Struthio camelus: one gene and its partners. The protein of the gene in region 1 purifies or fractionates together with the protein of each later gene. This does not show direct contact. Links are inferred from orthologs where the notes say so. Each region holds a gene or a part of one and is shown in the gene's direction. Other genes may lie near its edges. The genes, in order: GIT1, GRK2, PAK1 and ARHGEF6.

Region 1 (7,463 bases):
CCGAGCCGAGCCGAGCCGAGCCGAGCCGAGCCGAGCCGGGCCGCCCCCCCGCCCCGCCCGCGGCCCCACCTGCTTGGCGCTGAGCTCCCGGTCCAGGTCGCGGGCGCGGTTGTGCCAGACGAGGTAGTGGAGCGGGTACCTGCCCTCCGGCCCCTTCCTGCCTGAGCAAGACGCGAGCATCCTCCGTGCATGCTGGAGCGGCGGGCGCGGGGGGCGGCGCGGCGGGGCGCGGCGGGGCGCGGGGCGGAGCGGAGCGGCGCGGAGCGGGGCGCGGGGCGGCGCGGAGCGGGGCGGCGGGCGCGGAGCGGGGCGCGGGGGGCGGCGGGGCGGCGCGCGGGGCGGCGCGGAGCGGGGCGGGCGGCCCGGGGCGGAGCGGGGCGCGGAGCGGAGCGGGGCGCGGAGCGGGGCGGAGCGGGCGGCGGGGGGCGGCGGGGCGGAGCGGGGCGGAGCGCAGCGCGGCGGACCCCCCCCCCCGGCCCGGGCACCCCCCCGCACCCGCCCGGCCTCATGGGACTTGTAGTCCCCCCTGCCCGCGTCACCTTCCTCCTCCTCCTCCTCCTCCCACCGGCATCGCTCCCCGCCCCGGGGCTCCCCCAGCCCCAGACCCGCTGGGACCCCGGGGACCCCCGCTGCCCCCGGCCCCTGCGTGCCATGGGGCCGTGCACAGGTGGCCGCGAAGGGGCACCGCGGTGGCCCCGATCCCCCCAGCAGATCCCCCCCACCCCCAGCTGATTCCTCCCTCCCTTTCCTGCCCCCCCCCCCCCCCCAGTGAGCCAGCGGCTCTTGGCACATGATGGGGGGGCGGCAAGGGCCATGGGACAGGCGGTTGTGCCGGTGGGTGCCAAATGGCCCCCCGCGCCGTGGCCCCCCGGCTCGGCGAAAGGCCAGGCCCGCGGCCCCTGCCCCTGCGTTTCCTTTTCCGCCTGCGTTTCTCCAGGGCGGGAGTCGTGTTTTCCGGCTGCTGCCGGAGAACAATGCGAGGCTGGGCCTTCCCGGCACGGCGCGGCGCGGCGCTCCGGCCTTCCCTGCCAGCGCCCCGCTCCCGGCCCCGGCGCCGTTCCCCTCTGCTGCAGGGGCGCGTGCCCCACGGCCTTCCTGTCCTCCGGGCAGGGACACCTGCCCCGCGGTATTGCCATCCTCCGGGCAGAGACACCCGCTCCACGGCATTCCTGGCCTCTGGGCGTGGATGCCTGCCCCACGGCGTTCCCATTCTCCAGGCAGGGACACCCGCCCCACGGCGTTCCCGTCCTCCGGGCAGGGATGCCTGCCCCACGGCGTGCCCCACGGATGCAGGAAGGGCCCAGAAGGGTCTGCTGCCAGGTGCCCAGCTCCCCAGCCCCCGGCACGGGGCTCCTGGCCCACCCGGCCCGCCGCCACCTTGCCCCCGCTCCTGCTGAGCTGCCCCCCGCCCCCCCCCCCGCCATAGGAACAGCCCCAAGGAATAAATGCAAATTGTTATTATTCTCCGTTGCTGTGGCCGGAACAGCACAGCCGCAGCAGCACAGCCAGCTCCTCCGCTGCGCCAGCCCCGCTGCCTGCTCCCCGGGGCCGGGGTGGCCGGCATCCCCGTGCAGCATCCCCATCCGCCCTGTGCTCCCCGCGGCTTCCGTGCCCTATGACGTCATAAGCCATCTCCACGGCAACCAGCAGTGAGGTCACCCGCGCCGGCCGGGCCACGGAGCCTGCCCCGCGGTGGTGCTGGACGGCAGGATTCGGCCAAGCTGGGGCCGAGCCACCAGCCCCACTTGGGCGCGGGGCGAGGAAGCTGCTCCAGCCCTGGTGCAGCAGGAGATGTTCAGGACACGGCAGCTCGGGGCCCCTCCGGCTGCTCACAGAGGCCTGTTGGGGTTTCGGGAGTGTCCCCCAACTCTGCGAGATTAAAGGATCCCAGAGCAGGGACTGGACCCCAAACAGACTCTGCTCTATCCATCCCCCCCACCCAAATCATTCGTGCGCAGCCCTGTGGTGCAGGGAGCCTGGCCCCATATGGCCCTGCACCGCCCTGGAGAGGTTCATCCATCTCAGAGGTCTCCATGGGTGGGGGCCACCCCCACCTCCGGATGGGGAACCGAGGCCGTTAGCCACGCCGCGGACAGGGGCCAGAGCGCTGCCGACCCTTCCCGGTGTCCTGGCTCCCCTCGGCCCCCAACCAGCCCAGGCACGGGGGACTGCTGGTGCTGGGCCCTGGGGAGGGTGCACAGGGCAGGGGCTATGGCCGGGCCTGGGGTGGGGGACAGGACCAGGGCTGGGGTGCACAGGACTGGGGCCAGGAGCAGGGGGGTGCACAGGACCAGGGCTGACACCAGGACCCAGAGAAGAGGGGTGCCCAGGGCTGGGTGCCCAGGGCCAGGACAAGGACCAGGAGCAGGAGGGTGCCCAGTATTGAGGAAGGGGGTGCTGAGGACCAGAAGCAGGACCAGGGGTGTGCCTAGCACTGCAACCAGGGCCAGGACCAGGATGATGCCCAAGACCTGGGGTACACAGGACCACAACCAAGGCCAGGAGCAGGGGTGTTCATTGAACTGGGGCTCAGACCGGGACCAGGAGCGGGTCCAGGACAGTGCCCAGGAATGGGAGGATGTCAGGCCTGGGGCTGGGGTGCACAGGAACAAGGCCAGGCCTGGGACCAAGAGCAGGAGGGCCTGCAGGACCAGAACCAGGGCTGGGAGCAGGATCAGGAGCAGGTCTGTGATGGTGCCCAGGAGCAGGACAGGGGGATGCACAGAACTGGGACCAGGAGTAGGAGCAGGGCAGGCGGATGCACAGGACCAGAACCAGAACCAGGAGCAGGGCAGGGGGATGCACAGAACCGGGACCAGGAGCAGGAGCGGGAGCAGGGCAGGGGGATGCACAGAACCGGGACCAGGACCAGGAGCGGGAGCAGGGCAGGCGGATGCACAGGACCAGAACCAGAACCAGGAGCAGGGCAGGGGGATGCACAGAACTGGGACCAGGAGCAGGGCAGGGGGATGCACAGAACCAGGACCAGGAGCAGGAGCGGGAGCAGGGCAGGGGGATGCACAGAACCGGGACCAGGAGCAGGGCAGGGGGATGCACAGAACCGGGACCAGGAGCAGGAGCGGGAGCAGGGCAGGGGGATGCACAGAACCGGGACCAGGAGCAGGGCAGGGGGATGCACAGAACCGGGACCAGGAGCAGGAGTGGGAGCAGGGCAGGGGGATGCACAGAACCGGGACCAGGAGCAGGGCAGGGGGATGCACAGAACCGGGACCAGGAGCAGGAGCGGGAGCAGGGCAGGGGGATGCACAGAACCGGGACCAGGAGCAGGGCAGGGGGATGCACAGAACCGGGACCAGGAGCAGGAGTGGGAGCAGGGCAGGGGGATGCACAGAACCGGGACCAGGACCAGGAGCGGGAGCAGGGCAGGCGGATGCACAGGACCAGAACCAGAACCAGGAGCAGGGCAGGGGGATGCACAGAACTGGGACCAGGAGCAGGGCAGGGGGTTGCACAGAACCAGGACCAGGTGCAGGAGCGGGAGCAGGGCAGGGGGATGCACAGAACCGGGACCAGGAGCAGGAGCGGGAGCAGGGCAGGGGGATGCACAGAACCGGGACCAGGAGCAGGAGCGGGAGCAGGGCAGGGGGATGCACAGAACCGGGACCAGGAGCAGGAGCGGGAGCAGGGCAGGGGGATGCACAGAACCGGGACCAGGAGCAGGAGCAGGAGCAGGGCAGGGGGATGCACAGAACCGGGACCAGGAGCAGGAGCGGGAGCAGGGCAGGGGGATGCACAGAACCGGGACCAGGAGCAGGAGCAGGAGCAGGGCAGGGGGATGCACAGAACCGGGACCAGGAGCAGGAGCGGGAGCAGGGCAGGGGGATGCACAGAACCGGGACCAGGAGCAGGAGCGGGAGCAGGGCAGGGGGATGCACAGAACCGGGACCAGGAGCAGGAGCAGGAGCAGGGCAGGGGGATGCACAGAACCGGGACCAGGAGCAGGAGCAGGAGCAGGGCAGGGGGATGCACAGAACCGGGACCAGGAGCAGGAGCGGGAGCAGGGCAGGGGGATGCACAGAACTGGGACCAGGAGCAGGAGCAGCAGCAGCAGCAGGAGCAGGTCCGGGACGGTGCCAAAAGCGGGGGCGCGGTGCGCAGGAGCGGGGCAGCGGTGCCCAGCCGCGGGGTCGGGGGGCGCCCAGGCCCGAGCCCGGCGGCGCAGAGGCCCGCGGCCGGCGGCGGCGGGGGCGCGCGGGCCGGGCCGGGCCGGTGCCGCGGTGCCGGTGCCGGCGGCGGCGGCGGCGGCGGGGGCGGCGGGGCGGGGGCGGCGCTGCCCCTCCCCCGGCGGGGCCGGGCTTGCGCCGCTTCCTGCGGAGCCGCCGGGCGCTGGGAGCAGCCGGCAGCCCCGGCGCGCCGCGGCCCCGGCCCCGGGCCCCTCGCCGCGCCCCGCCGCCGCCGCGCCCCGGCCCGGCCCGGCCCGGCGCCCCCGGCGGGCCCGGCGCCGCCGCCGCCGCCGCACGCTGGCGCAGAGGCCCGGGCCCGGGCCCGCCTCGCCGCTCAGGATGTCCCGGAAGGCGCAGCGGGCGGAGGTGTGCGCCGACTGCAGCGCCCCAGGTAAGGGCCGCGCCGCCGCCGCCGCCGCCGGCCCCGGCCCGCTGCGGCCCCGGCTCGCCGCCGCCGTGAGCCCGCGGTGCAGCCGCGCTGCCGCCCCAGTGAGCCGCCTTGGCACGCCGCGGGGCGCCCCGTGTCCCCCCCCCCGCACCCCCGTGGTGCACCCCGCGCTGCGCCCTCGGCTGCCCCCCCCCCTTTGCATGCCGCGGGGCAGCCTTTTTTCTCCCCGCTGCCCCCCCCCTGCATGCCGCGGGGCACCCCGTCCTCCCCCCCGGTGAGCCCCCCGGTGTGCCCCCGCATCCCCTCTGGTGTGCTCTCAGCGTGCCCCTGCGGAGCCCCTTGGTGCACCCGTGTTGCACCCCAGGAATCTCCCGGTATACCCCTAATGTACCCCCAGTGAGCCCTAACCAGCAAACCCCCCGCCCCCGGAAGGCCCTGCTGCGACCCCAGTGCACCCCAAAGCCCCCCCAGTGCACGACCCCCCCCAGTCCTCTGCACCCCCCGGGCGCGGGGGCTGCTGCTGCAGGCTGGGGACGCACCTGGCCTGCACCAGCAGCACCGGGGACCCTGCAAGTGGCAGCGTGGGGGGACCCCTCCCTCTCCCCCCGGCTTGCCGAGGGGCCCCCCGCTCCTGCCCGACCCCCCGCTCCTGCCTGGCACCCCCAGCCGGCCGGGGCCAGGTTGGGCGACGCCGCGCAGGGCTGCGCCAGGCCCGCGCCGGCCGCGCTGCAAGCCGAAGCCTGAGCCTGGGCAAGACGATTCGCGTCCCCGGCTGCGCCGGTGCCCGGCAGCCCCCGCGCCGGATGCCAGCCCGGTGCTCGGCACGCCGCGCAGCCAGCGGGGAGGGGGCCGGGGCAGCCCCCCGAGCTGCCGCCCGCCGCCGTGCCCGCCGCCGGCCCAGGCGCGTTTCCGCGGCGCGGAGCTAATGAATGAAAAGGGCCGAGCGTCGAGGCTCGCTCCGCTCGGAGCCGGGCCCGGAAAGCTGCCTCCGGGCGAAGGGTGTGCTGGAATTATTCCGGCCGCGTGCCAAGGGCCGGATCCTGCCAGGAGAGCCGCCGGGCGCGCGTGGGAGCCGAGCAGCCCCGCGGGTCGGGGCGCTTCCCTGCGCTGGCAGGCGAGTCCGGGGGACGGGGGCATCGCCGCCAGGCCTGCCGTGCGTCAAGGATTCCTCCCGGCGCAGCGAAATGGGAACCGGTTTCTTCCACTCTCTTATCACCCGGCAGCCAGGGGAGGAAATGAGTTATAAAGTCCAGCGGGGCTGCGTCCCACCGCCCGGCGCGGGGGGAGAGCGCCGCGGGCTGCCCGCCCGGCACGCCGCCGCTTCGCCGCCCGCGCGTCCCCGGATGCCGCCCTCGGCATCGCGCGGGGCGCCGTGCCGGCGTGGTCCCCGCCGGCGCCGGGCGCCTCTCCGGGCCCCGCTGGTGCAGCCCGCCGGCCGGCCAAGCCGAACGCAGGGGCTCCGGGCGGGGGGGGCGGCGGGGACCCTCCCTGGCTCTGCCCGCCGGCGCGGCGGGCCGTTCCCGCAGCGCCCCGCGGGCAGCGCGCGCGGGCACAGATGCGGCCGCGCCGGCTGCCAAGGCTCCGCCATCTGCGCCCGCGGAGCCGCCAGGCCGCCGGCGAGGGCTGTGCACCGCGGCACGGCGCCCCGGCCCCGGGGACCCCCGGCGCCCCGTGGCGGCGGGGGCAGCTCTGCGGCAGCACCCGCCGCGGGCGGAGGGAAGGGGCCCGGCGTGCCGGCGACCCCGGCCGCCCTTTTGCCGGGGCAGGAAGGAAGCGCGGGGCGGGCTGGCTCCATCGCCGCCCGCCAGGCTTCCTCCGCGGGGGTAAGGGGAACGGGTCCTCGTCCCGCTGCGGCCGCGAGAGCGGCCCCGGGGGGCCAGAGGGGCAGCGCCGAGCTGGGCCTGGGCACCCTGCGGGGGCTGCTGCCGGGCGGGAGGGGGGGATGCTCCCGAACTCGCGGCCTCGGCCGCCGCGGGGGCTGCTCCGGAGGCTCCCGCCCGCCGGGGACGCGGTGACCTTGCGCCGGCCGCGTCCTGGCTGCTGCGGGGCGGCCCGGGCGCGCCGAGGGCCCCTTCGCGTCGGCCAGCGCCCGGGCGTCGGGAGCTGCACGTGCGCCCGCCGCCGGGCCCCGAGCGGGCGCCGAAGGGCCGAGGCGGGCAGGGCCCCCCCCCCGTCCGCCGGTGCCAGCTCGGAGCCGGAGCGCCCGGCCGCTCAAACGGCCCTTTGTTCTCGCGCGGATACAAAGGGCTCCAGTCCGGCCGGCCGGGGGGGAAGGGCGGCCCGGCCGGGGAAGGGGCCCGGCGGCGGGCAGGGGGCCGCAGCACCTGCCCCCCCCTCCCCGCCTGCCCCCCGCGCCGGGCCGCTCGCCGGCCGCCCGGGGCCTGCCGGAGCTGCGCACGCCGGAGCTGCAGCTCGGGGCAGCCCTGGTGGGTGCGACTCCCTCCCCCCCCGCCAAAGCCCCTGCTCGGCCCAATCCTGCCCCCCCCCAACCCATTTTGCCATGTTGCTAAGGGAAACCTTCAGGTTTTCCCTAGCGATGGGCTGAGCCCGCAGCGGTAGCTAGGGAAACCTTCGGGTTTCCATGGCAACGGGTCCCCTGCATCCCCCCCCCCCCCCGGCTCTGCCGGCAGTGGGGCAGCGGGGGGCCGGTGGCCGGGGCGGGGAGGGCGCCCTGTGACGCCCCGCGCGCCCCCCGCAGACCCCGGCTGGGCCTCCATCAACCGCGGCGTGCTCATCTGCGACGAGTGCTGCAGCGTGCACCGCAGCCTGGGCCGCCACATCTCCATCGTCAAGCACCTGCGCCACAGCCCCTGGCCCGCCACGCTGCTGCAGGTGGGTGCCGCGGGCCCCCGCCGGCCGCGGGCCCCCCCCCACCCCGCCGCCGCCGCCGC
Region 2 (7,920 bases), on another chromosome or scaffold:
TCGAGGGGTTGGTCTGCGCTTTCCGCCCTCCCCGGCGAGAGCCTGCTCCATCGCTGCGAGGTGGAGAAGGGAGATGTGAGTGTGAGGGTTTCCGCAGTGCCTCAGTACACGGGTGTTTTGCTGCAATGAATCGGGAGGGCTTCGAGTAGAAAATTACCCCGAGACTAAGAGCAAGAGTGCCAGCCCCTCTGCTCGTGGCCGGGCAGCAGAAGCCGCCTGCCTTAGTCTCTCTTGGTGGTGGCTCCTGTGAAAAACAGCCGAAAAATCAAAGTTTTGGTGTTTTTTTTGTTTTTATTTTTTGTTTTTGTTTTTTCTTTTCTTTTTTTTCTCCTTTGGATTGATTTTGAGTTTCACGACAAGAAAGAAGAAAGGTTGGGGCAAAACTTAGCGGGAGCTGGGAGGGCAGCTGGCTTGGGGGCCTGGGCCAGCCCTGGGGCTTCCCAGGCTGGGCGGGCGTTGGGCTTCCTCCGCCAGGAAAGCGAGCGTCTCTATTTACACGCGCATTCGGGGCCGAGCGAAAGCAGCCCCCCACTCTGGGGCAGCACGGGGAGGCAGACGAGGCGAGCTGAGCCGGGGAGGGGCAGGGTGCCCGGGGCAGCCATCCCCCCCCACCCCCCCCTTTGGGGCTTCAGAGACTCGAAATCAAGGTGCGACCCTTGTCACCTAACTGGCCACCCCAGCCCCCTTGGTGGGCGAGGGGTGAAAATTCACAAGGAAAGAAGAAGATAAAAAAGAATTATATATATATAAAAATCACTTAGTGATTTAAAAACAACCCAGACTGCTCCCTAAAGACAACTCCTGCAACAGAAGTCACTATTGTTTAAGGGTTTGGTTGTGTTTTTGTTTCGTTTCGATTCCCCCCCTCCCTCCCCCCCGGAGAAATATTGTAAATATATATTTTTTGTTGGCGATTTAGAGTCCATCTCTGATGTTTGTGCTTTAAAATTAAATGTAAGCATTAAGGGTAAAAGCAAACCAAGTCTTACGCTCTCTCAGTCGGTATGGTTTGGGTTGGGGGGTTTCTTGTCTGAGGGCAGAGGGAGGGGAGCTAGTTGGCTTTTTTTTGTTTTATTTTTCTTTTTTCTTTTTTAAGCATTCTCCGATACTGGTTTTAGAGAGGATCTTTGCTCATAACAGATTACCACAGGGATGGAAGAGATGTTGGGGGGGGAGGGGAGGGAAGATACCAGCCTCTGAAGGGAAATATTTTGTTTCTTGGGGGTGGATTTTTGGAATAAAAATTTAAAGAAAAAAAAATAACCCTGCGTCTCGGTTCTGCCCGTTGTTTGTCTGCGAGTCAGAGGGGAGCGGAGAGGCCGAGGCCTGGGCTGGGCTGGGCTGAGAGGCCGCAGCTTCTGCGGCCGCCCGGCCCTGGGGCTTCCTCTGCCGCGCCGAGCTGGGTGGAGAGGAAGCGCGGGGCTTAGTCACACGCCCGGGCTCCCGTGCGGGAACCCGACGGCGGCGGCGGGGAACGGTCCCCTGCGGCCGCTCGCCCCCCGCCCTGGCGGCGGGTCGAGCCGCGTCCTGGTGCTGCATGCGGCCGCGAGCACCCGCTCGCGTTTGCTTGGCAGCTGGGGCTGGCCCTGCCAGCGCCTTGCACCACAGCTGGCACAGCTCTGTAACCGGCCCTGCTTGGAGCAGGGGTTTATCCCGAAACGCACGGTCAAACTGGCAAAGCAAAGGCACTTCCTGCCTTCCCGGCTGCCGACGGTGCCCCCATTCGACTGCTGGGGACGTCCCGGACCAGCTTGCGGGCTGGAAGAGCTCGCGCTGCGACTGCACCGTAGCGGGATGCCCCCTTGCCTTTGCCTCGGGTTTCTCTTGCTGCTGCTGTCTCCCGTCACCCTTCAAACCCTTTCGAGCCTGCTTTGGGGGCAGCTGGGTCGTTCCCCTCCTTTTTGATATACAAAGGCATTTTGCTTCCACGCGTCGTTTCAAACCGAGGCACGTAAAACGCTGCTGGAGGCAGCCCGGCTGCTCCTCCCGCACAACCGGGGGGTCTCCTCTCGGGCTCAAACCACCAGCCCCAACTTGCCCATTTGGCTATGATACGTATTGTAGCCGATCCTCAGCGCGCCAGCGCCGCCCCGACCTCCTCCGGGGACCCTCCTCCTGCCCGGGGGTCTCGTCCTTCTCCAGAAAAGCATCCTGTTGGAGGGAGCCGGCGTGCCTCCGCGCCCAATTCCCGAGGCTAGCAACCTTCGGGGAGCGCCGAATCCACGGCGCTTGAATCCCGCCTCTCTCGGTCCTCGCCTTCGCGGAGCTGAGGGTCCGGTGGGCGACTCTGCCCCATCTCCAGCAGTTTCCACCGCCGCAGCCCTCCCGGGAGCAGCCCACCCGCCGGGGCGGCCGCGCTGCCGCTGCCAGGTTTGCCTCAGGCCGGCTAAAAGGAAGCGAAACCTCCTCCAGCGTCATTGCTCCCGCCTGCGTGGCTGCGCCCAGGCTTTCGCCTTTGCCGCCCCTCGCGCTGCCCGGGCCTGCGAGGTGGCCTGGCACCTCTGGCCCTCCCCACGCGCCAAACTCCCTAGAAATGAGCTTGTCACAAGGGGTTTTGGGGTTTTGTTTTGTTTTTTTAATTCCCACCCCTCAGCTGGGCTCGGTTTAAAAGCTGGGAGGAAGCCGGGAGCGGAGCTGGAGCAGGGCGGCCCCGCCGGCGGCACAGGTCGTGCAGGGCGGCTGTCTCGGTGTCACACGTGCTGTCACATACACACACGCACGCACACTCACCCCTGTGTGTCTCTCACCACTCTCCCGGTCTCTCTCACGCACCCCCACACACCTGCACACACCCCTGCTGTCACTCTCACACACACACACCACACACATGGCATCTCACTCACACTTGGTGTCTCTCGCACACACACACGCACACACTCAAGTGTCACGCACACACTCACATGGTGTCACACACAGAGACACACACAGTGTGTGAGTTGTGTCACACAAACTCACTCTCTCACACACAAACCCCCACACCCCTGGTGTCTCACAAACACACACAAACACACACGGCGTCTCTCACACACACTCACACGGTGTCTCAAACACACACACCCTTGGAGTAACACACACACACATTCACACACATACACACGGTGTCTCACACACACACACTATCTCACACACCTGGTCTCTCACACACACATTGACACACTCACACACCCCTGCTGTCATGCACACACACTCTCTTACACACACACACACACACTCATGCACGCTCTCTTACACACACACACTCACATACACACACACACTCTCTCTCACACTCTCAGTCTCACACTCACATACACACACTCTCTCACACACTCTCTCACAGTCTCACACTCACACATACTCTCTCACACACTCACACATACTCTCACACACACACTCACACATACTCTCACACACACATTCTCTTGCACTCTCACACACACACACTCACACATACTCTCACACACACGCACTCTCACACTCACACTCTCACACACACTCTTTCACACTCACACACCCTCACACTCTCACACTCACATGCACACTCACACTCTCACACACACACTCACACACACTCAGTCTCACTCACACACATACTCTCACACACATACTCTCACACACACTCACACAAACTCTCACACACACACACAGTCTCACACACACACACTCACACACTCACACTCTCACACACACACTCTCACACACACACACTCACTCTCTCTCACACACTCTCACAGTCTCACACTCACACATACTATCTCACACACTCACACACACTGTCTCACACACACTCTCGCACTCACACTCTCACACTCACACTCTCTCACACACTCACACTCACACATACTCTCTCACACACAGTCTCACACACACACTCTCACACACACACACCCACACACACTCACATACACACTCTCTCTCACACACTCTCACAGTCTCACACTCACACACATACTCTCACACAGTCTCACACACTCACAAACTCTCACACACACACTCACACATACTCTCTCACACTCACAGTCTCACACACACATTCTCTTGCACTCTAACACACACACACACATACTCTCACACACTCTCACACACACTCTCACTCACACACACTCTCACACACACTTTCACACTCACACACCCTCACACACACTCTTTCACACTCACACGCACACTCACACTCTCTCACACTCACACTCTCTCACACACACTCACACTCACACACTCTCACACTCACACTCTCTCACACACACTCACTCTCACACTCTCTCACACTCACACTCTCTCACACTCACACTCTCACACACACTCACACTCTCACACACACAGTCTCACACACACATTCTCTCACACTCTCACACACACACACTCACACGCACACTCACACACTCACACTCTCTCACTCTCACACACACTCACACACTCTCACACTCAAACTCTCTCACACACACTCAGTCTCACACACACATTCTCTCGCACTCTCACACACGCACACTCACACGCACACTCACACGCACACTCACACGCACACGCGCCCCCGCTGTCCGTCCCCCCCCGCCCCCCCGCTCCCTCCCGCGGTCCCGGGCGGCGGCGGCGGCGGAAGGCGGCGGAAGGCGGAAGGCGGAAGGCGGCGGCGGCGGGGCAGGGCCGCCCCGGGCCCCGCCTGCCGCCCGCGCCGCCGCACCGGCACCCGGCCCGCCGGCGCGCTCACGCACCGCGCTCGCGCTCACTCACACTCGCTCGCGCTCACTCACACTCACACTCGCGCTCGCAGCCGCCCGCCCCGCCATGGCCCCGCGCCGCTGAGGGCCGCCCAGGGCCGCCGCCGCCGCCGCCGGGGGCCTCGCCGCTGAGGGCCGCGCCGCCCCGCCGCCCCGGGCCGCCCCCCGCCCGCCGCCAGGGCCGGGCCGAGCCGGGCCGGGCCAGGCCGCCCGCGGGGCCGGGCCGGGTCGGCGGCGGCGGCGGCGGGGCGGGGGCCGCGGCAAGATGGCGGACCTGGAGGCGGTGCTGGCCGACGTGAGCTACCTGATGGCCATGGAGAAGAGCAAGGCCACGCCGGCCGCCCGCGCCAGCAAGAAGATCCTGCTGCCCGAGCCCAGGTGAGGCCACCGGGCCCGGCGCGGCCGGGGCGCCCCACGCGCGTCCGAGCAGGGCGGGCAGGTGCCAGCGGGGCCCGGGCGCCGGCCTGCCCTGGCGCGGGCAAGCGGGGCTGGTGGGCAGGCGCGCCCCGGCCTGTGCAAGTGCAGCTGCGTGTGCAAGAGTGCCCTGGCGTGTGCAGGCAGGGCTGGTGGGCAAGAGTGCCCTGGTGCGTGCAAGAGTGCCCTGGCGTGTGCAGGCAGTTCTGGTGGGCAAGAGTGCCCTGGTGCGTGCAAGAGTGCCCTGGCGTGTGCAGGCAGGGCTGGCCTGCAAGAGTGCCCTGGTGTGTGCAGGCAGGGCTGGTGGGCAAGCGTGCCCTGGTGCGCACAAGAGTGCCCTGGCATGTGCAAGCAGGGCTGGCCTGCAAGAGTGCCCTGGTGCACGCAAGAGTGCCCTGGCGTGTGCAATCAGGACTGGTGGGCAAGCAGGGCTGGTGGGCAAGTGTGCCCCGGCCTGTGCAAGCGCAGCTGGCGTGTGCAAGTGTCCTGGCGTGCCCAGGCAGGGCTGGCTTGCAAGCGTGCCCTGGTGTGTGCAAGAGTGCCCTGGTGCGTGTAAGCTGGCCTGGCCTGTAAGCGTGCTCTGGTGCATGCACGCGTGCCCTAGTGCATGCACGCGTGCCCTGGTGTATGCAAGCAGAGCTGGCCTGCAACTGTGGCCCTGGTGTGTGTAAGGTGACCTGGCCTGCAAGCGTGCCCTGGTGCATGCAAGCAGGGCTGGCCTGCACAAGTGCGGCCCAGCGCAGAAGGCGTGTGGCATGGGCAAGCGGGGCTGGCCCAAGCAGACAGTGCACAGTGTGCACAAGCAGGGCCTGGCACGTGCAAGTGTGGCACAGGGTGTGCAGGCAGCATGCCACCCCTGCAAGCGCAGCCTGTGCAGGCAGGGCCTGGCGCATGCAAGCAGGCTGCAGCGTGTGCAAGTGTGGCGCAGCGCGTGCAAGCATGGCCTGGCACATGCAAGCAGAGCCCAGCGCGCGGGGACAGTATGCACCAGGGCAGCAAGGCACACACGAGTGTGGCAGAGCACACGCTGGCATTGTGCAAGCAGGGCTCCTCATGCGAGGGTGTCACAGCATGTGCAAGGGTGTCCTGGTGTGTGCGAGCTCAGTGCGGCATGTGCAAGCCTGAGCTTGGCGCGGTACGTGCGAGCGGGGCCCAGCGCCGGTGGGGCGAGGGAGACGGGGCGCGGGGCGCCGGTCTGCGCTGCCGCAGCCTGTCTGGCCCCCAGACTTTCCTGCTCCTGCAGTTCCCCTTTCTGTCCTCGCCGTGCACGGGCACGGCTGCACCGTCCGCGCGCCCGCACAGGCGCGCATGCTGGCACACCTCTCTGGTACACATCTTCTGGGTACACACCTCTCCTGTGCACACACAGACGCACCTCTCCGGTATGCATCCTTCCGGGTACACACCTCTCCTGCGCACACACAGACACACCTCTCTGGTACGCATCCTCCCAGGCACGCACATGTGTACACACACAGGTGCAGCTGGGGGCACGCACATGCGTGTGCTCACACCTGTGCTCCCACACAAGCACCACCTGAGCACACCTGCACGCGTGTAAGCACACCCACGCTCACACCTTCTGCACACGTGCACACACCCTGCCTCCTTCCGGGCACATCCACATAAGCACACTCACCTCTTGCACACAAAAACACATGTGCATGTGCATGTGCAATGTCACTCAGCCGTGCATGCGTGTGCATGCCCCTCTTGCTCATACACCCAAACACACTGTCCCAACACACGTGTCCCTGGCCAGACATGCAAACTGCAGCGCCTGGACGCACGCATACAGTCCTGGAGCCTTGCATCTCCTGAACAAGCATGTACTTGTGCACATGCACACACACGTGCACACCTGTGCAGAGTGCACCAGGGCTGGGCTGCACACACATGCATGCACATACACACTTGCACACACACACACACAGAGTGCACAGCCGGTGCACGTGCAGACTCACACGTTGGTTCTGCTGAAACACTTCCCCAGCCCCCTGTCCTTCACACGCACGCAGAGTTGTGATGCTCTCTGCTGTGCACACCGCCCCCGCACGCGTGTCGATCTCACACACACACACACCCCACTTCTGCCCACACAACCCGCTTTGCAACTTCCCTTCTCACGCCCGGCCTGCCCAGGCACCGGCGCCCAGCCGGGCAGGCGCACACAGCCATGCACAGCCTGGCGCGCGCCACATGCACGGCCCGGCCGGCAGCAAAGCCCAGCGTGCGGGGCGTCGGGCGCACGCATCCCGCGCAGCACAGTGCACAGCCTGCTGTGCGTGGCAGCCCAATGTCCCAGCCCGCCACGCTCCCGCTGCTGGGCCCCGCTTTCCCTCCGGCGTTCGCAGACCCGGGTGTCCTGGGCCGACCGTGGCGCCCGTGCCTGGCGTTCAGCTCCCACCCTGCAGCCCTGCCTGCCTCAGTTTCCCTGGGGAGGTGGAGGGGGCCTCTGCTGGGCCCTCGGATGCCTGGGCCCCTCTTCCCTGGCCCTCCCTGCGTGGGGCACCCTGTGGCTACCCCTTACCAAGGCCCAGCAGGGTGTCATGGCGGGGACAGAACAGGGGTCAGGTGCACCGGGGTCCCTGGGGACAAGCGTGCAGGTGGGGTGGCCGGCGAGGGGATGTATCCTGCCCCTGGAGCCGTGGGAGATGCCCTGGGGGGACGGGGGCACGGGAGACGCAGCAGGGGCCTGGGGTGGGGGCAGGACTGAGCCCATCTGGCGTCTCCCCAGCATCCGCAGCGTCATGCAGAAGTACCTGGAGGACCGGGGGGAGGTGACCTTCGACAAGATCTTTGCGCAGAAGATCGG
Region 3 (7,883 bases), on another chromosome or scaffold:
AGGTGAATAATTAAGCAGATAGAGGTTGGGATCATGGGGGTAAGGGGAGAAGAGGAGGGAGTAGGACTAGCTGTTCCAAGAAACGTCTGGGAAGGAATAGGGACAGGGATCGGCTTTTTAGACTGTTGGTAAGAGGAAGCTCTGATGTAGAGAGACGTGGATAAGACTGACCTGAGAGATTAGAAGAGGCAATTCTGACTTGAGTGCCATGCTTAATTTTGGAGCACGTTGATAATGTCTTTAATATCTAATTGCTATCATGGTACTCATTTCTCTCCACAGATTCCTGCAAACTGTAGGATTAAAATGTAAACAGTCACATCCTGGTGTGAATTAGTGCTGACCCAAAGCATTCAAAGCTCATGCATTTGAATATGTTTTCTATCTAAGGTTACCAATGGCTAGTCATAATTTTTCAAGAAACAAAACTCTTCAGTTCACTGAGAGAGTGCCATAAAATCTGTCAAAACCAGGGATCAGGGCAGCTCCACAGAAACTTACAGCAAAGACCAGTGACTCTCCTCCCCCGCCCCCAATCTTTTTAAGCTCTGAATCAGTAGTAGGCCTCGAAACTGAGATATATGTGTTCAGATTCAGCTTTTAGGTAATGAATCAAAGACTGAGCTCATTGTTAAGCCATGGACCCATCTGTATTTTATGACTTCCAGAGATACATACATAAGGCATCCCAAATCAGATAGTCACTTGTGGCTTCCCTAGTGTTCACCCTCACTTGCTTACTCCTTACCAAAGTACTAAGCGCTCTTAGCTGTTGCTGTGCAATTTCCTGGCTAAAGGAGCTCTGGAATGTAAAACTGTATTCATCACCAGACGTTTTGCCAGATTCCAGGACTTCAGTGAAGCGGTAAAAGATCATTTAAAATTGGAATGGCATGGAGAGTCCTCTGAGTGTTCAGTCAATTTTAGATAACTCAACCAACAAGAAACTAACCCTTAAAGAGCACCTGAATGATCTGGGATTTAAGCCTCAAAAATTGTACCAGGTTGTAATTACTAAAATATCTGCACTACCCCCACACACTGTGATTCTTTACTGTAAGCTTCTTGATACAAGAGGTGAAGGGCCAAGTGGTATGTGGGAACATCTCTAGTATGATGCTTTAACCATTTATCCAGAATTAATCAACTGAAATATATAGCTAAATACTGAGAAATGGTTTTGCAGAAACAGTAAATGCATAAGGTGGATTTTTGATTTCAGCTGACAAAACTGCAGATGCTACTAGGATAGAACAAATGTAATTTGAAGGCAGGTTTGCTAAAACAAAGCAGTTTTAGTTTGCTAGAATGGCAGTCCTGGTTCTTATCCCTGTGCTCAGCCTCATTCGAGGTGGGGGAGTCTTAGCAAATTGGATTGGGTTGAATCCCTTCATGTAAACTGGCCAAGATTTAAACCATTTCTGCAGGACGGTAAGAAAGGCATGTTGATGTTAAATATGCTCCAGACGTAATGTGCTACTTTTGTATGTTTTGGAGCTGGTTCTAGTTTTCTTTGCAATAGCTTTTATGTGCCGCCTAACATAGCGATAGGTAAGACCGGAATGAGGCCTTGCTGTTCACCACCAGTCAGGTGTTCCAGCCCTTTCATCATTTTGCTGCTTGGGTTTTCTGGCAATGAAACCCCCTAAAACTAGTTGGGGAATCGAAGGACTCTTGCTGCTGTGCAGTCTGACATGCTTTTTTTGCATGTTCATTTAGAGAAAACATTGACTATGGTGCCTCCCAGATTTGCATCCGGAAACACATTTTCCACTGCTTTAATCCACTTGAGACAAAATGGACTTAAAAGGAGATTGTTCTGATTTGGAAGTGTTTTATGTACACTCTGCAGAGCCGTACAAGCTTATACAATATGTAGGGCAGTGATGAATCACGGTCTGTCGTCTTCATTGCTTCACACCACTATAACAACATTAATTTTGCTGGACTGACTTTTGATTTACTGGGTGAGAAACCTCCAAGCAATAATATGTTGACCCACTATCGCCTTCAGTTTTGCTTGCTATTGCTATGTCTTCTCAGTGAGCCCTTTGGCAGAGGAACTTTATAATTGTGTATATTATGTCAAGAGGAGTGTCAAGAGGATGAGGCCAGCCTCTTCTCCGTGGTGCCCAGCAACAGGACAAGAGGCAACGGGCAGAAACTGAACCACAGGAAGTTCCATCTGAACCTGAGAAAAAACTTCTTCCCTGTGAGGGTGACGGAGCATTGGAACAGGTTGCTCAGAGAGGTAGTGGAGTCTCCTTCGCTGGAGATATTCAAAACCCGTCTGGATGTGATCCTGGGCAATATGCTCTAGGTGACCCTGCTGGAGCAGGGAGGTTGGACTAGATGATCTCCAGAGGTCCCATCCAACCTAAACGATTCTGTGATTCTGTGATATGTGATTACAGGATTTTGTGTGTGTGTGTGTGGTTTTTTTTTTTTTTCCCCCCAATCCTTATCTGACTACTAAGACTTAGAGACTTGTAATCAGTTTTCTCCATATATATGATAATTCTTCAAGACATTCATAAGCTCAAGTTTTTTCCATGTAGGCTGAGGCCAATTAGTCTATATTTGCTAGAGCAGATTAGAGGGGTGGAGGGATGATTGCAGGTAGCTAAGCTATTACATCATAGCAAGTTACTGTCCCTCAGCTGAGATGTAGCTTCTGGTGATTTCACATACCCTTTTGTTCCCCATGCGTTGTGCCAGCCCTGGTATTTGGGGATTTGATCTGGCTGAAAAACAGCCAGGAAAAATCTCAGATGGCTCAGTTCCCTGATCCCTTCCATTATCTACCTGCACAAATAGCCGTACTGGCACAGTGCAGGGGGTGGCTCAGGAGCAGAGGCACACAGCAGGGGAAGAACCATCAATGCCCATACTGCTGTCAAAGAGTAAATCGTTAAGGTATGCCCCACCAAAGCTGGAGCGCTCACTTTACTCTGTCTGAAGTGGAGGAAAATGAGGTTCTTAAATGATTGCTCTAAAATCAATTGCTTAACAGAGTCGGTCTTTGAGGCTAGGGCCTGGTGCCAGGCTTCTTCCCACAGAACACAAGAGACCCTTTTGAGGTGTAAGAAAATAACCCTCCCCCCCCCCCTTACTGGAAAGGGGCCATAAGAATTTATTCTGAGTACAAGGCAAGATGGAGCCTTCCCTGGAAAAAAAAAAAACTGAGCGCTTTCTCTGCTTTGAGTGCTTATAACGCAAATAAAATGATCTGCGTTTCACTCATTCCTTTCTCAAGCACCTAATTCTGTTCGGCAGTAGTAGGTCTATATCCCATTCTGATGCTCTGCATGGACGTTGCAAGCGCCTCTTCCTCCTTTTGTTTGGGAACTCTGTCCGAAACATCCAACAATTTACTGGGACAAAGGCGTGCTGAAATTTGGCTAAATTCAGAAAACTGTGAGTCTCAGAATCTCAGAATATCCCTTTACGGTGTCTCTTTAGGGTTCCAGGTTACTGCAGAATAGAATAGCAATGGAACAAAAGCGTACAATTCAGGATGTTTTGGAGAAGTCCCTTGGCGATGAATTTACAAAGATTTCATTGAAACAATTTCTGAATTGAGTTAACCTGTGTATAGATAAAGTCTTTTCTCAGCTTTAATTGGTCTTAGAAACAGCTATAATTAAAGTACAATATTATCTCATGCAGCTTTAAGTACTTTTATACAGGTATTACATACAGTTGTAGTAGGGGCTGTTAGAGCCATCCACGAGCTGATACAGATGCATATGGACCAGGCCTTAAGTCAGCTGCTGTGAATATCTTACACAATTGTTCTTGATATTATTGATAAATGGTTGAATGAATGTATTTTTAAAACTGTCTTGTTGGACAAGGCCTGTTTACGAGTGCTTTGGACTGATCTCTTGCTATGTTTCAAAACTCTTTTTTTTTTTTTTAGTTCCCAGCCATCCACATTTTATAGCAGCCACATTTTTTTCTTAAGAGGCTTTTTGAGACCTAGCATGGTACAAGAGGAAGTTAATCCTCAGGTCTCAGCAAAGCTCTGAAAGATAACGTTCAGTTTTGCCTTCAGCGCCGATGGTGGGCCCCCCCCCCCCTTTTTTTTTTTTTGGCATCTGACATGCAAGCTCAGCTGTGGGCTTTTCTCCTCGCTTCCCTGCCTGCAGCAGTCTCGTCCGCCCGACTCCCGTTAACTGCGGGGTTCTTGATACCGGCTGGTGGTAGCTGCCTTTGTAGTGAAGTAACTGATACACTGACATTAACAACCTTTATGTTGTGTCCGGATGACAGGCTATGTCCAGGCAGCGCTGTAGCTGTGTTCGTGCAATCTGTGAGAATGGTTCGGAATTAAATTTTAAATTTAATTTAATAGCTGTGAGTACATCAAAGCGTGCAATTCCGCAACAGGTTAAGCTGATCGAAACCAGCTCTTTTGCAGTCCCGCTCTGTACCCATCCTGCACTTGCTTTCTGCTTTCCTCCATTCATTCGATCAGGTCTGTGGAGTGAGTTTTCTGCTTGATTTAGCTCCTGAACCAGCTTATAGAACGGAGAAACGTTGGTCCGAGAGAGAACGGCGAGACCGCGGCGGTGTTTTCTTAACTTGCCCGATGCGGGCGCGCTGTCTTTGAAAGGCAGCTCTGTTGTGCCTCTTTCCCTTCTGGCTGTACCCGCTTGTTTCACTGCGCCGTTTTACAGAGGTGTATCTAGACAGCCTGCCCACCGCCTTACCAGGCCCGTGCTCCTGGCCGTACAACTTGTCCATCTGCGGTATCAAATCCCCTTTTTTTTTTTTTTTTTACTCCCCCTCTCGGCACGGCCGCCCCCCCCGGAGCCAATGGCCGCGGCAAGGCGGGGAGGGCCAAGGGAGGCGGCGCCGCGCCCACAATAGGGGCGGCTGGAGGGCGGCGCGGCGGGCGGAGAGCCGGGCGGCACCTTGCAGCGGGCGGAAGGTGAGTCCCGCCGGGCTGGGGAAGAAGGGGGATTTCCTCGCCGCCGCTTGCTGGTTTGTAGCCGGGAAGTTTGCAAAGGGGCTGAGAGACCGGGCTTTTTTTTTTTTTTTTTGGCGGGGTGAAGGAGGGAGATACTCAGTCTTCCCCCCCCCCCCCCCGGTTCATTCATTTAACAAAGGGAGTTGTCCCCGGGCCCAGGCTTTGCAAGAGAGAGAGAGCAGGTTTAGGGTCCCTGGGCAGAGGGTTGCAGTGCAAAGGGCGGAAGGGAGCGATCGGGGCTCAGCCCTTGACTTTCTGCTGAGCGGAGGCAGCCTGTCCTGGTTCAGCCTGGAGGCAGCGGGGACGGGCTGCGTGTATGTGTGTGCGTGTGTGCGTGTGCTTTAGGCAAACACAAAGAACTGAAGAGCTGGACCCTTTGCTGGGCGATGGGGTGATGGAGCCCCTGGCTTTGTGTGGTCGGTGGCCAGGGATGGGGAGGGGGGCGTGTGTCTCTCCCTTCCCTTCCCCCCCCCCCGCCCCTACCTTCAGATCGTGCCTTTTTGCTGTTAAAGTACTGTTAAAAGGAAAGCTGAACTTGGGATGATGAGATAACTCGGGTTGAAAGGGACCTTAGGAGGTCTGTAGTCCAGCCCCCTGCTCAAAGCAGGGTCTTCTGCCTGGGAAGTGGGTGGCTGTGAAGGGACATCTCTGGGTGCTCTTGGGTGTTCCTGGGAGCCTGCAGGAAAGGCAGCGCCAGCAGGACAAGCCCTTTGGGGCACTGAGGCTTGTTTCTTGCTCCGTGCATGGAAATGCCCTAACCCACGGCTCTGCTGTGCCTGCAGTCCCTGTTCTTGATGCTTTTGTTGTCCGGAGGGCTTAACATTCATGACTGTGGGGAATAGCTGGCTCCGTCCGTCTGCGTGTCATGGTGCATCTGCTCCCACTGAGCATTACTCGATCCTTACTCAGGCACTACCTCCAGGAGTTTTTCTTCAGCAACAAGACCGATAAATAAATAGACGTCCAAATCTGGCTCTTTGCTGGGGCTTGTTACACGTTGTAAGGCTTGTGTGTTATGCAGTGATAGGTACATTTTATATGCATAAGACTAATTGCAAAAGCTGTTTAGTTTTGTTTAAGCTTCTCAAAGTGAAAGTGGGTATTGGAGTTTGCTGAAATGGCTGTGTGCTGGGCACAGGCGGAAGAGTGTTTGTTCTCTTTGCTTGCACTTACTCTTTGTACAGTGACTCACAGATGCCTTTCGCCAAACTACTTCCCCCTTCTCCATACCTGGAGTTTCTTGGTGTTGCACACACTACCTGGCAGAGTAGGGAGCATCTTCACGCCTGCTCCTCTTAACATCCTGGCGTGTAGGTGGCTTAAGCTGGCTCACGGCTTTTCAGGGTAAGGCTGAAAAAAACCTCCTCTTTGTGCAGCAGATCTTGCGCGTGTCAGCTGGATGCTTAGAAACTGCCTTTCCCTGTGCATTTTCTGCAGATTAGTCAGAGAAGTAAAGCTCGTCTCCGCGGGGAGAACAGACAGCAAAGGGGAACTTTACATGCGTTCTAATACCGAATCTCTTAAACTATGAAACGCTCTTGTCTTGTATCGTGGGACAGAACTAGTTTTTACCTGTGTGGTATAACAATGCTGTACTTTGGAAATAGAGATTGATAAGCTAGGTGAGTGTTTAGCTTTCCCAAGTCGTATGGGAAGAGACTAGTTTCTTTAAATGGGATGATATAGCTACCTTTCTTAGACTTGGAAATTTTGGGCTTTTTGGAAAAGCCAAAAATAAGAGGAAAGTGCTCATGTACCATGACAGCATGAATGCTTTGACTGGCTTTAGGGAATACTGTGCAACTTCAGATGTTGCTCAGAGAAGAAGAAATTAGAAGAAATGTGTGACAAGCTTAGCTCATCATCCGCAAGGGGAAAAGCATTGTTTGTTTATTGTTGTTTTTTTTTTTGACTGCCTTTCTTGCACTAGGTCCAAAACTGATGCCGACTTTTTTGTCGAAAAGGTGAAAGAACCGTGTGATTACTACTGATTCTTATGTATTTTTTTCCTAAGCCTGTACAGATCTTCTCTCTCAGCTCTGACTACAAGCGCATGGCTTTCACCTGGCTTGCTAACTAATTCTTTCTTTTAATATGAATAAGCTGCATCTGGATTTCTCTCTCCTGTGCACTTGCCTCACTTCCTACCTGTGGGAAGTTTTCTAATTTCAAAAGTTAATTGTTACAGCCTAGTTCCCTTATATTCCTAAGAGTATGCAGAGCCCTCTGTAGCTGAAATAGACTTTTCAAGGTAGCAAAATACAGAAATGATCCAGGGCTCCGCCCTTAAAGCGATCTGGGTTTACAGTTCATCCTGTCAGCAGCGGATGATAACAGAAGCAAACAGACTGTAAAGGTTTCGAGAAACAACCTCTCTTTGTTAGGAGGTACAAGAAATGGACTGAGACTAAACAACTGAAAGCGCAAGTCATGTTTCTTCAAACCCTAGTCTGTTGTTAGTCCTTTGACAGGTACAAGAATATGTCTCATTGGCATTCACATCCGTGTGAAGCCCAAAGAATATTGTGTGCCAGAGCCATATTGCATGAAAAAGCCTTTTTCTGTGCTTGGCAAGGAACTGGACTCATTTTCTCAGCCTGATGTCTTGACCTGTATAGGAGTTGGGGTGAACTTGCACATGTTCTGTTTGATACCGAGGGCTTGTTCTTATGGAGAAAATCACTGGTCCAGTTTGTTGTCTCTCATATGCTTCTACCTGGTTCTCACCTGGGGGGGATACTACTTTGAAACCTTGTTTCCAGAGATGGAAATGGCCTGGTTCCATTGACTTCAGTGGCAACCAAACGGGGACTGTCAGCAGTACATAAGTCACTGTGATCAATTCTTCCCTTCTAAGTATAAGGCATGCGATGCTCTTTAGGAATGGATAGCTTAAAACCCCCTGATG
Region 4 (7,320 bases), on another chromosome or scaffold:
ATTTGTTTTACTATGGATTAGTACTTAGTGGACCGTGTTGTAATTAATAAAGATATTCAAGATAAAATTACACTTCTTTAGCCTACTTTGCAGCTTATAAACCTTACTAAATTTTCTAACAGGAAAGGTGACAATGTTAGTTTAAGGAGTGGTAGATAGTACTTAACGGACTGCATGGCAGGAAAGCTAATACTGTCTTACTAAAAATAAGGATGTAGTTGTACTAATTCAGCAAGCTATTTGCCTTTTCTTGATCCTAAGTTGATAGCAATAATAATTGCGTTTTTAATTCAGTTCACACCACAACGTTATTTACAGATGTGCGTATGTGCATACCAGTTTATTATGGGAGAGCCAGTGGGATTTTGTGGTGGCAGTTTTGAAGGGATGTACCCTGGAATTACTTGGTGCTCCCCCCGGAGATGCTGTTGTACAATAGGAATACAGGTAGACCTCAGACTGTTTCGATTGTTGTAGTTAAGTACTGATGTATTTTCATACCCTTGGCACAAATTGAAAACAACCCAAATGTCTGCATTGTGCATGTATAAATACATTGATCAACTCAAAGATTATTTAGCCTTTTTGTCTGTCTGCTGGTTTCTGAGAGTGTACTAACTTGACTTTCCTCTTTTCAGTTATGGGGACTGGAAGAAGGCACTGGAGCAGTGGAGATGTGTTGGAAAATCGAAGGATAACAAAATACAACAGATAAAACTTGGGCTTTGAGTACGATGTTGACCAGTATTTGTTTTAGAGGGCTGTGTTTCATTCAGGAATTGCATCTGAAAGTAGTGCTACTTATCTCTTGGATGTAAGCTCTCAGATAAGTGGAAACCAGTTGCTGTTTCTGCAGCTAACCTCTTCTAAGTAGTAAGCCCTTTTTTTTTAGTCAGTATACATGCATCAGTGGATTGTGCAGCAGAAGAACATTCCAGCGGTGCTCTTCACATAGGGTGCTTTTGTTGTGTGCTAAAAAAGGAGCAAGTTTCATAAAAGTGAGTTTGAGCCCTCCAAAATGCAGAGGAAAAGGGTGTCCTTCACAAAGAAAGAGACCGATAAAAGTTGTATGACATTTTTACATTAACAGTGGTATAACTGTTCAAGCCTTTTTGATGGGAGGAAGGAAGTGCTGATAAAACCATATTTGTGATAAATCCCCAGAATAGTATTCAGAAAAACTCCAGCCAGCGTTACTACTACTTATACATGTGCCGTTCTATAGAAACAAGATGTTTTCTTAATTTACCTAGGTTTTGGTGCATTCATACCCTCATAAGTGTTGATGTGCCAATGTATACGAGAGTAATCCTCAGTCATCATTTTTTCATAAAGCTAACTACAGATTGATGGAAATCTTTACACAGTCATGGCTAATAAAGTTTATATTGACTTCTTGTACTGTAGACATAAACTGATTTTATTTAAACAACACCTAGTCTATAAGGATTAGCTTAAAAAGAAAACATGCATTTCTTACTGAAAGAATTTAAAACTGCCTTTGGGTTTGGGGTAAGACTCTCACTTTGAGCTTCAGTTATGGACTGCAAACTCTAGGGAGTGCGTCTTCCTGTATGTAGCAAGGCGATGGACAGAATTGCATTATTTTCCAGGGCTAATAAACTTACTGTTAAACAAAAGCATTATTAGCTTGTTTAAGGAACTCCTTGCTTCTTAGCTACACGTACGTGGTGGAAATAGTTACCATTATTATACAGTAATGGAAGTTTATTGTTATGAAGAGGTCTTAGAGAATGCACCTCATTTCTTCAAGAATGGTGATATGCTGTGCTATTAAAAGACGCCTTTTTAGCCGTAGTTTATCGTCTGGCTGCGGCTGCCTAAAATACAATCCCAGCACACGAGCTACTGTATGAACAAAAATTACGTCTGCCTAACATGGTAAATAGATCATGTTGGTGCTGCATTCCCATTAGCTTATGCGCTGACTCAAATTACGTTCTTGAAAGTCTCTAGTTTAAAAGGAGATTGTAGACCAACATGCTTTTCTAAAGCTAATACTATCGTCATTATCAGTCATTGTCTGAATCAGACTGCAATAGAAGTTTATTGGTAACTTAGGGGTGAAGGTTGACTCTGCATGAGAAGATTGACAGTTCGTTTGATTTGTCCCTGTCAGCAGATAGCTAATGTTGAGATCAGAGATGATAACTTTTCCAAAGAAAGACCAAACAAGAAACTGTTCCTCACTTTGTGGATCTACCTCGATACCCGTGGTTCTGCCACAGAATTACTTCACCAGTGAGAAGAGGTGAAAACATCGGTACATTTTCAGTGGGATCCTGATGTTCTGAAAGATGTAAAAGTTGGCCTCAAAGTAGTTAGAGTACCATATGTTTTGGGGGCTTTCTGAATGTGTGAGAGAGCAAATGGCTCTGGGTCAGTCTTTCGAGCTGTTGGTACGTGTCCAGCACGTCAGAGGTATTTTCATTTAATCATAGTTGCAACTGATGGATGCAGAACAGGCATGGAACTCTTAAGACTGTCTGCCAAAAAATGAAAGGTTAGATACTTGTTTTGGAGGGGGGAATGAGCAAAGTATTCTTTGGCGTTCAGGTTTGTAGTACCGCGTTTAATGAAGCAGGTGTGGATTTTTCCCTTCCTTGAAGTACTTCTCGTGCTCTACATCAGAAGCCGGTGGATTCTAATCAAGAATACTGGAGTGGATGTCTTCCATTTGAGAATGGTGGGCCACAGTATATGAATGAGCATTGCCAATTATCTTGCCTACTATAGATTTGAGAAAAGGCAAGCTCTGAAAGTGGAGAGTGCAAGTATGCACTTCCACAAACAAAATAGTACTGCTCATGAGAACTTTAAAAAAGCCTACTGTTTTGAGGGTCTCTAATTATAAATTTCAAGTAAATTTTTCTGCACATACGGATAGCTATAGATGAACTTTACCAGATGGCAGTGAGTTTTGTGATTTAGCTTCAGTCAGTGTTAACCATTCACTCTGGCAGCTGCTAGTGTTACTAGTATTTTCATATAAAACAGAATTCATCCCAACATCCTGTGGCCAAAAATCTCTAAACCTAAAAGGGCAGTTCTGAATTCTTACTACTAGCTATTAAAAATGATCCTTAGGTATGTCCCAGTCGTAGGACCTGGAAAGTGGGGACACAAAACAACACATACCTTGCATGTAGTTTTTTCCTTTTGCTCTTCTCTTTCTCCCTACACCTCAAATTATAAGCCTCAGCGATTCAAGAGAGCTGATGTCTTGAAACCAGCTGCTTCAAGCAACAGGCTCAGGAATTGATTTATCATTTAGAACATTGTCAGAGAATTTTTGGTCTCTAGGATAGTTACTTCTTCCTGTTTCATTGCTTTCTATCCCTGTTGCTCTAGTTAACTTCTTAGGAGTCATGAGTTGGTTAGAAAATGGTAGTTTTCTGTCTGTTGGTGAAAGGACAGTTGGAAAACTGTGAGATGACTGGACTCTACTAAATTAACATCACCAGTAGTGCTGGCTAATATTACCCTAGAGCAGGGTAAAAAATTCCTAAAACGACTCTATCCTCATGCAGTAGATCCTGTAGAGAGCTTGTAGAAAGGGACGCTTTAATGGGACAAGTAAAATAGTTGGAAATTTTCATTCTCTGCTTCATATAAAAAAAGACTTAAATTTGGTTTATGAAGTTTTCACAGTTACCCAAGATGTTTGCTTTGACAGATGGTAATCTTGCAAAAGAACATTTTGGATTATATGTTTATTTCTTGTATAAAATAGTTGAGGAAAAAAATGAGATTTTGACAAATGCGTGATTAGAATCATAATCAGATTTTGCAAATGGAAAACTGTTGTAAAATGGCAGTGATTTAAAATGAAGACTTTACCTCAGAAAGTTAAAAATTAAATTTTATTTAAAAGCTTGCATGGCATGTTTCCCCCCAAATCATCTGTAGTGTAACATACAATTTTAATACTGTAAATATTGCAGTGCACTAGGAAATACTGACCTTTACTTTGTTGAACAATAGCCACAAGACCAAGCTTACCAGGTTGTAGAATGACATCTGTCACAAGGAGAAAGTAACTAGGTAAGACCTTGGTACAATATAAGTATCTGCACAGAATACTTCTGTTTTCAGAAATGCTGAAAATGTGTAGTAGGTATGCTTTCACTATATCCCTTTGAAGTAACAGAGTTCTGTAAACCATTGTACAAGGACGTTTCCTACCTTAGAGTAACTATAGTTCTGGTTCTTAAAATTCAGTGAGTTTCAGTGCCCAGTGAAAAAAAGTCGTTTCACTCTTAAGCCCTGCACGCGCCAGAAGAGGCAGGAAGATGTAATCACGGATGTGGGTTAGAGCGAGTTGTTGCACAGAAGTGCAGTGAAGGCAGAACTCTCAGCAATGAATCCAGAAGAGCAAATTGTAACATGGCTTATTTCATTAGGAGTTTTGAATTCTCCCAAGAAAATAGTAGAGGATCCAGAGGAGTTCCTGAAAACTTCTCTGAAAGATGGAATAGTGCTTTGTAGACTCATTAATCGCCTTCTTCCAGGATCTGCAGAAAAGGTAACTTTTTAGATACGTTTCACTAGCCTGAAGTTAGAGCGCTGTTTGGTGAAATAGTGCACTGCTTATTATAGGATATGGTTTTCTTTGGTAGGTAGCATGAGTGAGGAAGATCAGCAAGATCAACATGTTTAAGTTACTAGTTAAATCTAACTTAGGGTAAAGTAGGATCCTAGCTTTCGGTTTTTGATTTTCTCTCTTTAACATCCACAAAAACCCAGAAGGTTGTAGTTTGGCGACTTAGGTGTTCCTTTCAGCGGCAGAGGAAATACTAGGCCTACCAAAAGTCAAAAAACACCTTATTTTTGAACAGATGGATGTGTGGTTTGTCTCTATAGAAGTAAATATAGTTTGGAACTGTCACTGTAAAATACCTTGCTATTCAGGAAGTACATTGGGGAGAGCAAGATGAGGCTAGAAGTAAATGAACCTTGCATCCGTGCCATTTTGAACTGTTTCAAGTCAAGCAAATACGTTTATGTTGAAGCAGTTTAAGCCATCTGAGAACCTTGTATTAGGGTTTTGCTAGGCATATGTGTGTGCAGTCCAAAACAGTGATAAGTAACTGTGGGGAAAAAAGGGGAAGGAGTGTGATGAGAGATAGGAAATGGCAGCACAGAAGAGAATCTGTTTTAATTAAAGGAAGAAGCAGGTTCGTCCCCACCCTGTAAAATAGGTGCCTTTGTTTAAAAAGCAAAAATCACTTTTGTTAGCTACTTATCTCTTGTTTATATATGATGGTTTGGGGCAGTGCATTCTTAAAGGTCATCAGTTTCCCACTATCGCTTTAGGGCACTGTCGTATGTTGACATTCAAAACAAGATGCCGACCATTTCGATTTATGCATCACTTCCTCCGGTGGCTCTTTCTTCCTGGTTCGACAGCTTGCCTGCCACCCCCATCCGCCCCCTTAAGAAGCTTCCCTAATTCAATATAAAACGCACATGTCAATATTCATGCAGGCCTTCTGAATAGAGGCTGTGCAGAAGGTAACATAGTGATCTTGGTGGATTTTATTTCTTTAGTATTGTCTGGAGCCTAAAAATGAAGCTGATTGCATCAGTAATATTCAAGAGTTCCTAAAAGGCTGTGCAGTTTTTAAAGTGGAGGTAAGTCAACTAGTATCCTTCACATTATTTTGTTCTCATAATGTGCTTGTTTAATATATATTCTAAAAGGAAGCCAAATACCAGAGGGGCAGGTAGTCATTCCTAATCTTTTGTATCGGGAACGTGAATAAGAATGTGGGTAATGTAATATTGTGGCTGGAGAATTTGGAAATGGAGTGTTTTGACTGTGAGCTTAACAGATTCCTTCAAGACTTTGAGAGGAATCTAAACAGTCACATAGAAATATACACAGCGATAACAGAAATTCTGTCTAAACACAGTTGAGCTGTGTTGACCGCTTTGGTTTTTTTTTTTTTTTTTTTCCCTCCCCCACAAGGGCTTGCCATTTTTAGCCTTGCTTTAGTATAAAGGTGAAATATTCTTAATACTGCAGTATTTTTATCCATTTGCAAGCACTGAGAGAGATTCTGCCAAATACGTCATATGAAGTGGTCCTTATACATACAAATAATCCTATTGTAGACAAAAGATAACTTTTCAGTGGCTATTCCTGGTGCTGTATGATTCTTATGCCTAATCATCGTTCGTATTTACAAGAACAGAGTCCAAATGCATCACTTAAGAGTTCAGATAATTTTGCCGTTATATTTTTACAAATGCACATGCATTTAAAATGTTTTTAAAAACTTTGATATAACCCTTAAATTTCTACAGTAAAAAGGACCCTGTATCTAAGAGCTGTCACTAACTTGTTTGAAGTTTTATCCACATTACAAAAAATATATATATATATTCTGAAGATAAATTCCGCTAGAAGTAGGGAACAGCATCCTTGGGCATTACAGAAAATTATGCACCACAGTGAGAGAGGGTCGAACCCATGGCAGCCCTGTTGCTGTGCTTTTCCTTTGGAGGTCTAAACAAGCAAAAAGAGACACTCTTCTCTTTTTAGCTAGCCGGCATGAAAATTCCTTCATTCCAGAAGTGTTTAACTAGCCTGTTGTTTCCCACTAATCCATTGCTAAAAGCCTACTGCAGCAGCCTAGTTTTAAGAGCAGACACATATAGAATCACTGAAGGGCTATCAGATCAGAAATCAGTGTTGCCAGTCTTCTGGTACTTGACCATGTGATTTTTTTTCAGTTTTTCAGAGAGATTATTTTTCTATTTAAAAAATAGATCTAGTCATAATTGTTGTGGTGGAAAACACTAAAAATAGGAATCAAACTGCAAAAATACAAGTCAAGGGAACAGTCTTGAACTCTGTCACGCTTTAAAATCTCATAATTTTTAATCTGGTCCTGAAATACTGCAGCCCCACTTCACAATTTTCAAATACTAGGGATGGGCAATATTTTGCATCCAGCCCTGGATGCAGCTCTGATCGTACTTGTTCCTTTTCTTTCTTGGTTTTATTTTAAGAAAAGAGTTCCAAATTTTTGTTTTTCTGATTTATAAGCCCCGTAATCGTTGAAATACTCTGAGCCTTCAGTTACTTTCATAGTGCACGTGATTGCCCCTTCTCAGTTCTCTAAAGCTAAATAAAAGCTCAAATCGAAAGTAGACCTCTAAAGCTAAATAAAAGCTCAAATCTCTCAAGCTTGCATTTAAATTTTGCAGCCAAATGAAAATAATTTCTCATTGTTTTTTCATGGTACCAGAAATATTAGTAACAGTCATATTAGAGCACCAAGTGAAAACAGG

Evidence for each region.
Region 2: the proteins of GIT1 (region 1) and GRK2 purify together in Homo sapiens (affinity purification with western blotting; 4 studies listed by BioGRID and IntAct, with this or other methods). This does not show direct contact. The link is inferred for Struthio camelus from reciprocal best matches to the Homo sapiens genes GIT1 and GRK2.
Region 3: the proteins of GIT1 (region 1) and PAK1 purify together in Homo sapiens (affinity purification with mass spectrometry; 6 studies listed by BioGRID and IntAct, with this or other methods). This does not show direct contact. The link is inferred for Struthio camelus from reciprocal best matches to the Homo sapiens genes GIT1 and PAK1.
Region 4: the proteins of GIT1 (region 1) and ARHGEF6 purify together in Homo sapiens (affinity purification with mass spectrometry; 3 studies listed by BioGRID and IntAct, counting the BioPlex papers as one, with this or other methods). This does not show direct contact. The link is inferred for Struthio camelus from reciprocal best matches to the Homo sapiens genes GIT1 and ARHGEF6.

Annotation. Positions count from the first base shown.
Region 1 is NC_090957.1:16,988,736-16,996,198, reverse strand, and holds the start of GIT1 (ARF GTPase-activating protein GIT1), read left to right. Parts: upstream 1-4,456; 5' UTR 4,457-4,523; coding exon 4,524-4,575; intron 4,576-7,270; coding exon 7,271-7,404; intron 7,405-7,463. Other genes in the region: ANKRD13B (ankyrin repeat domain-containing protein 13B), read right to left, coding at 70-191. UniProt on the Homo sapiens protein: GTPase-activating protein for ADP ribosylation factor family members, including ARF1.
Region 2 is NC_090946.1:3,108,003-3,115,922, forward strand, and holds the start of GRK2 (beta-adrenergic receptor kinase 1), read left to right. Parts: upstream 1-4,910; 5' UTR 4,911-4,956; coding exon 4,957-5,069; intron 5,070-7,842; coding exon 7,843-7,919; intron 7,920-7,920. UniProt on the Homo sapiens protein: Specifically phosphorylates the agonist-occupied form of the beta-adrenergic and closely related receptors, probably inducing a desensitization of them. Key regulator of LPAR1 signaling.
Region 3 is NC_090942.1:220,589,047-220,596,929, forward strand, and holds the start of PAK1 (serine/threonine-protein kinase PAK 1), read left to right. Parts: upstream 1-4,868; 5' UTR 4,869-4,936; exon of another isoform or gene 4,937-4,989; intron 4,990-6,203; exon of another isoform or gene 6,204-6,319; intron 6,320-7,883. UniProt on the Homo sapiens protein: Protein kinase involved in intracellular signaling pathways downstream of integrins and receptor-type kinases that plays an important role in cytoskeleton dynamics, in cell adhesion, migration, proliferation, apoptosis, mitosis, and in vesicle-mediated transport processes.
Region 4 is NC_090952.1:22,989,512-22,996,831, forward strand, and holds the start of ARHGEF6 (rho guanine nucleotide exchange factor 6), read left to right. Parts: upstream 1-4,312; 5' UTR 4,313-4,381; coding exon 4,382-4,546; intron 4,547-5,516; exon of another isoform or gene 5,517-5,571; coding exon 5,572-5,655; intron 5,656-7,320. UniProt on the Homo sapiens protein: Acts as a RAC1 guanine nucleotide exchange factor (GEF).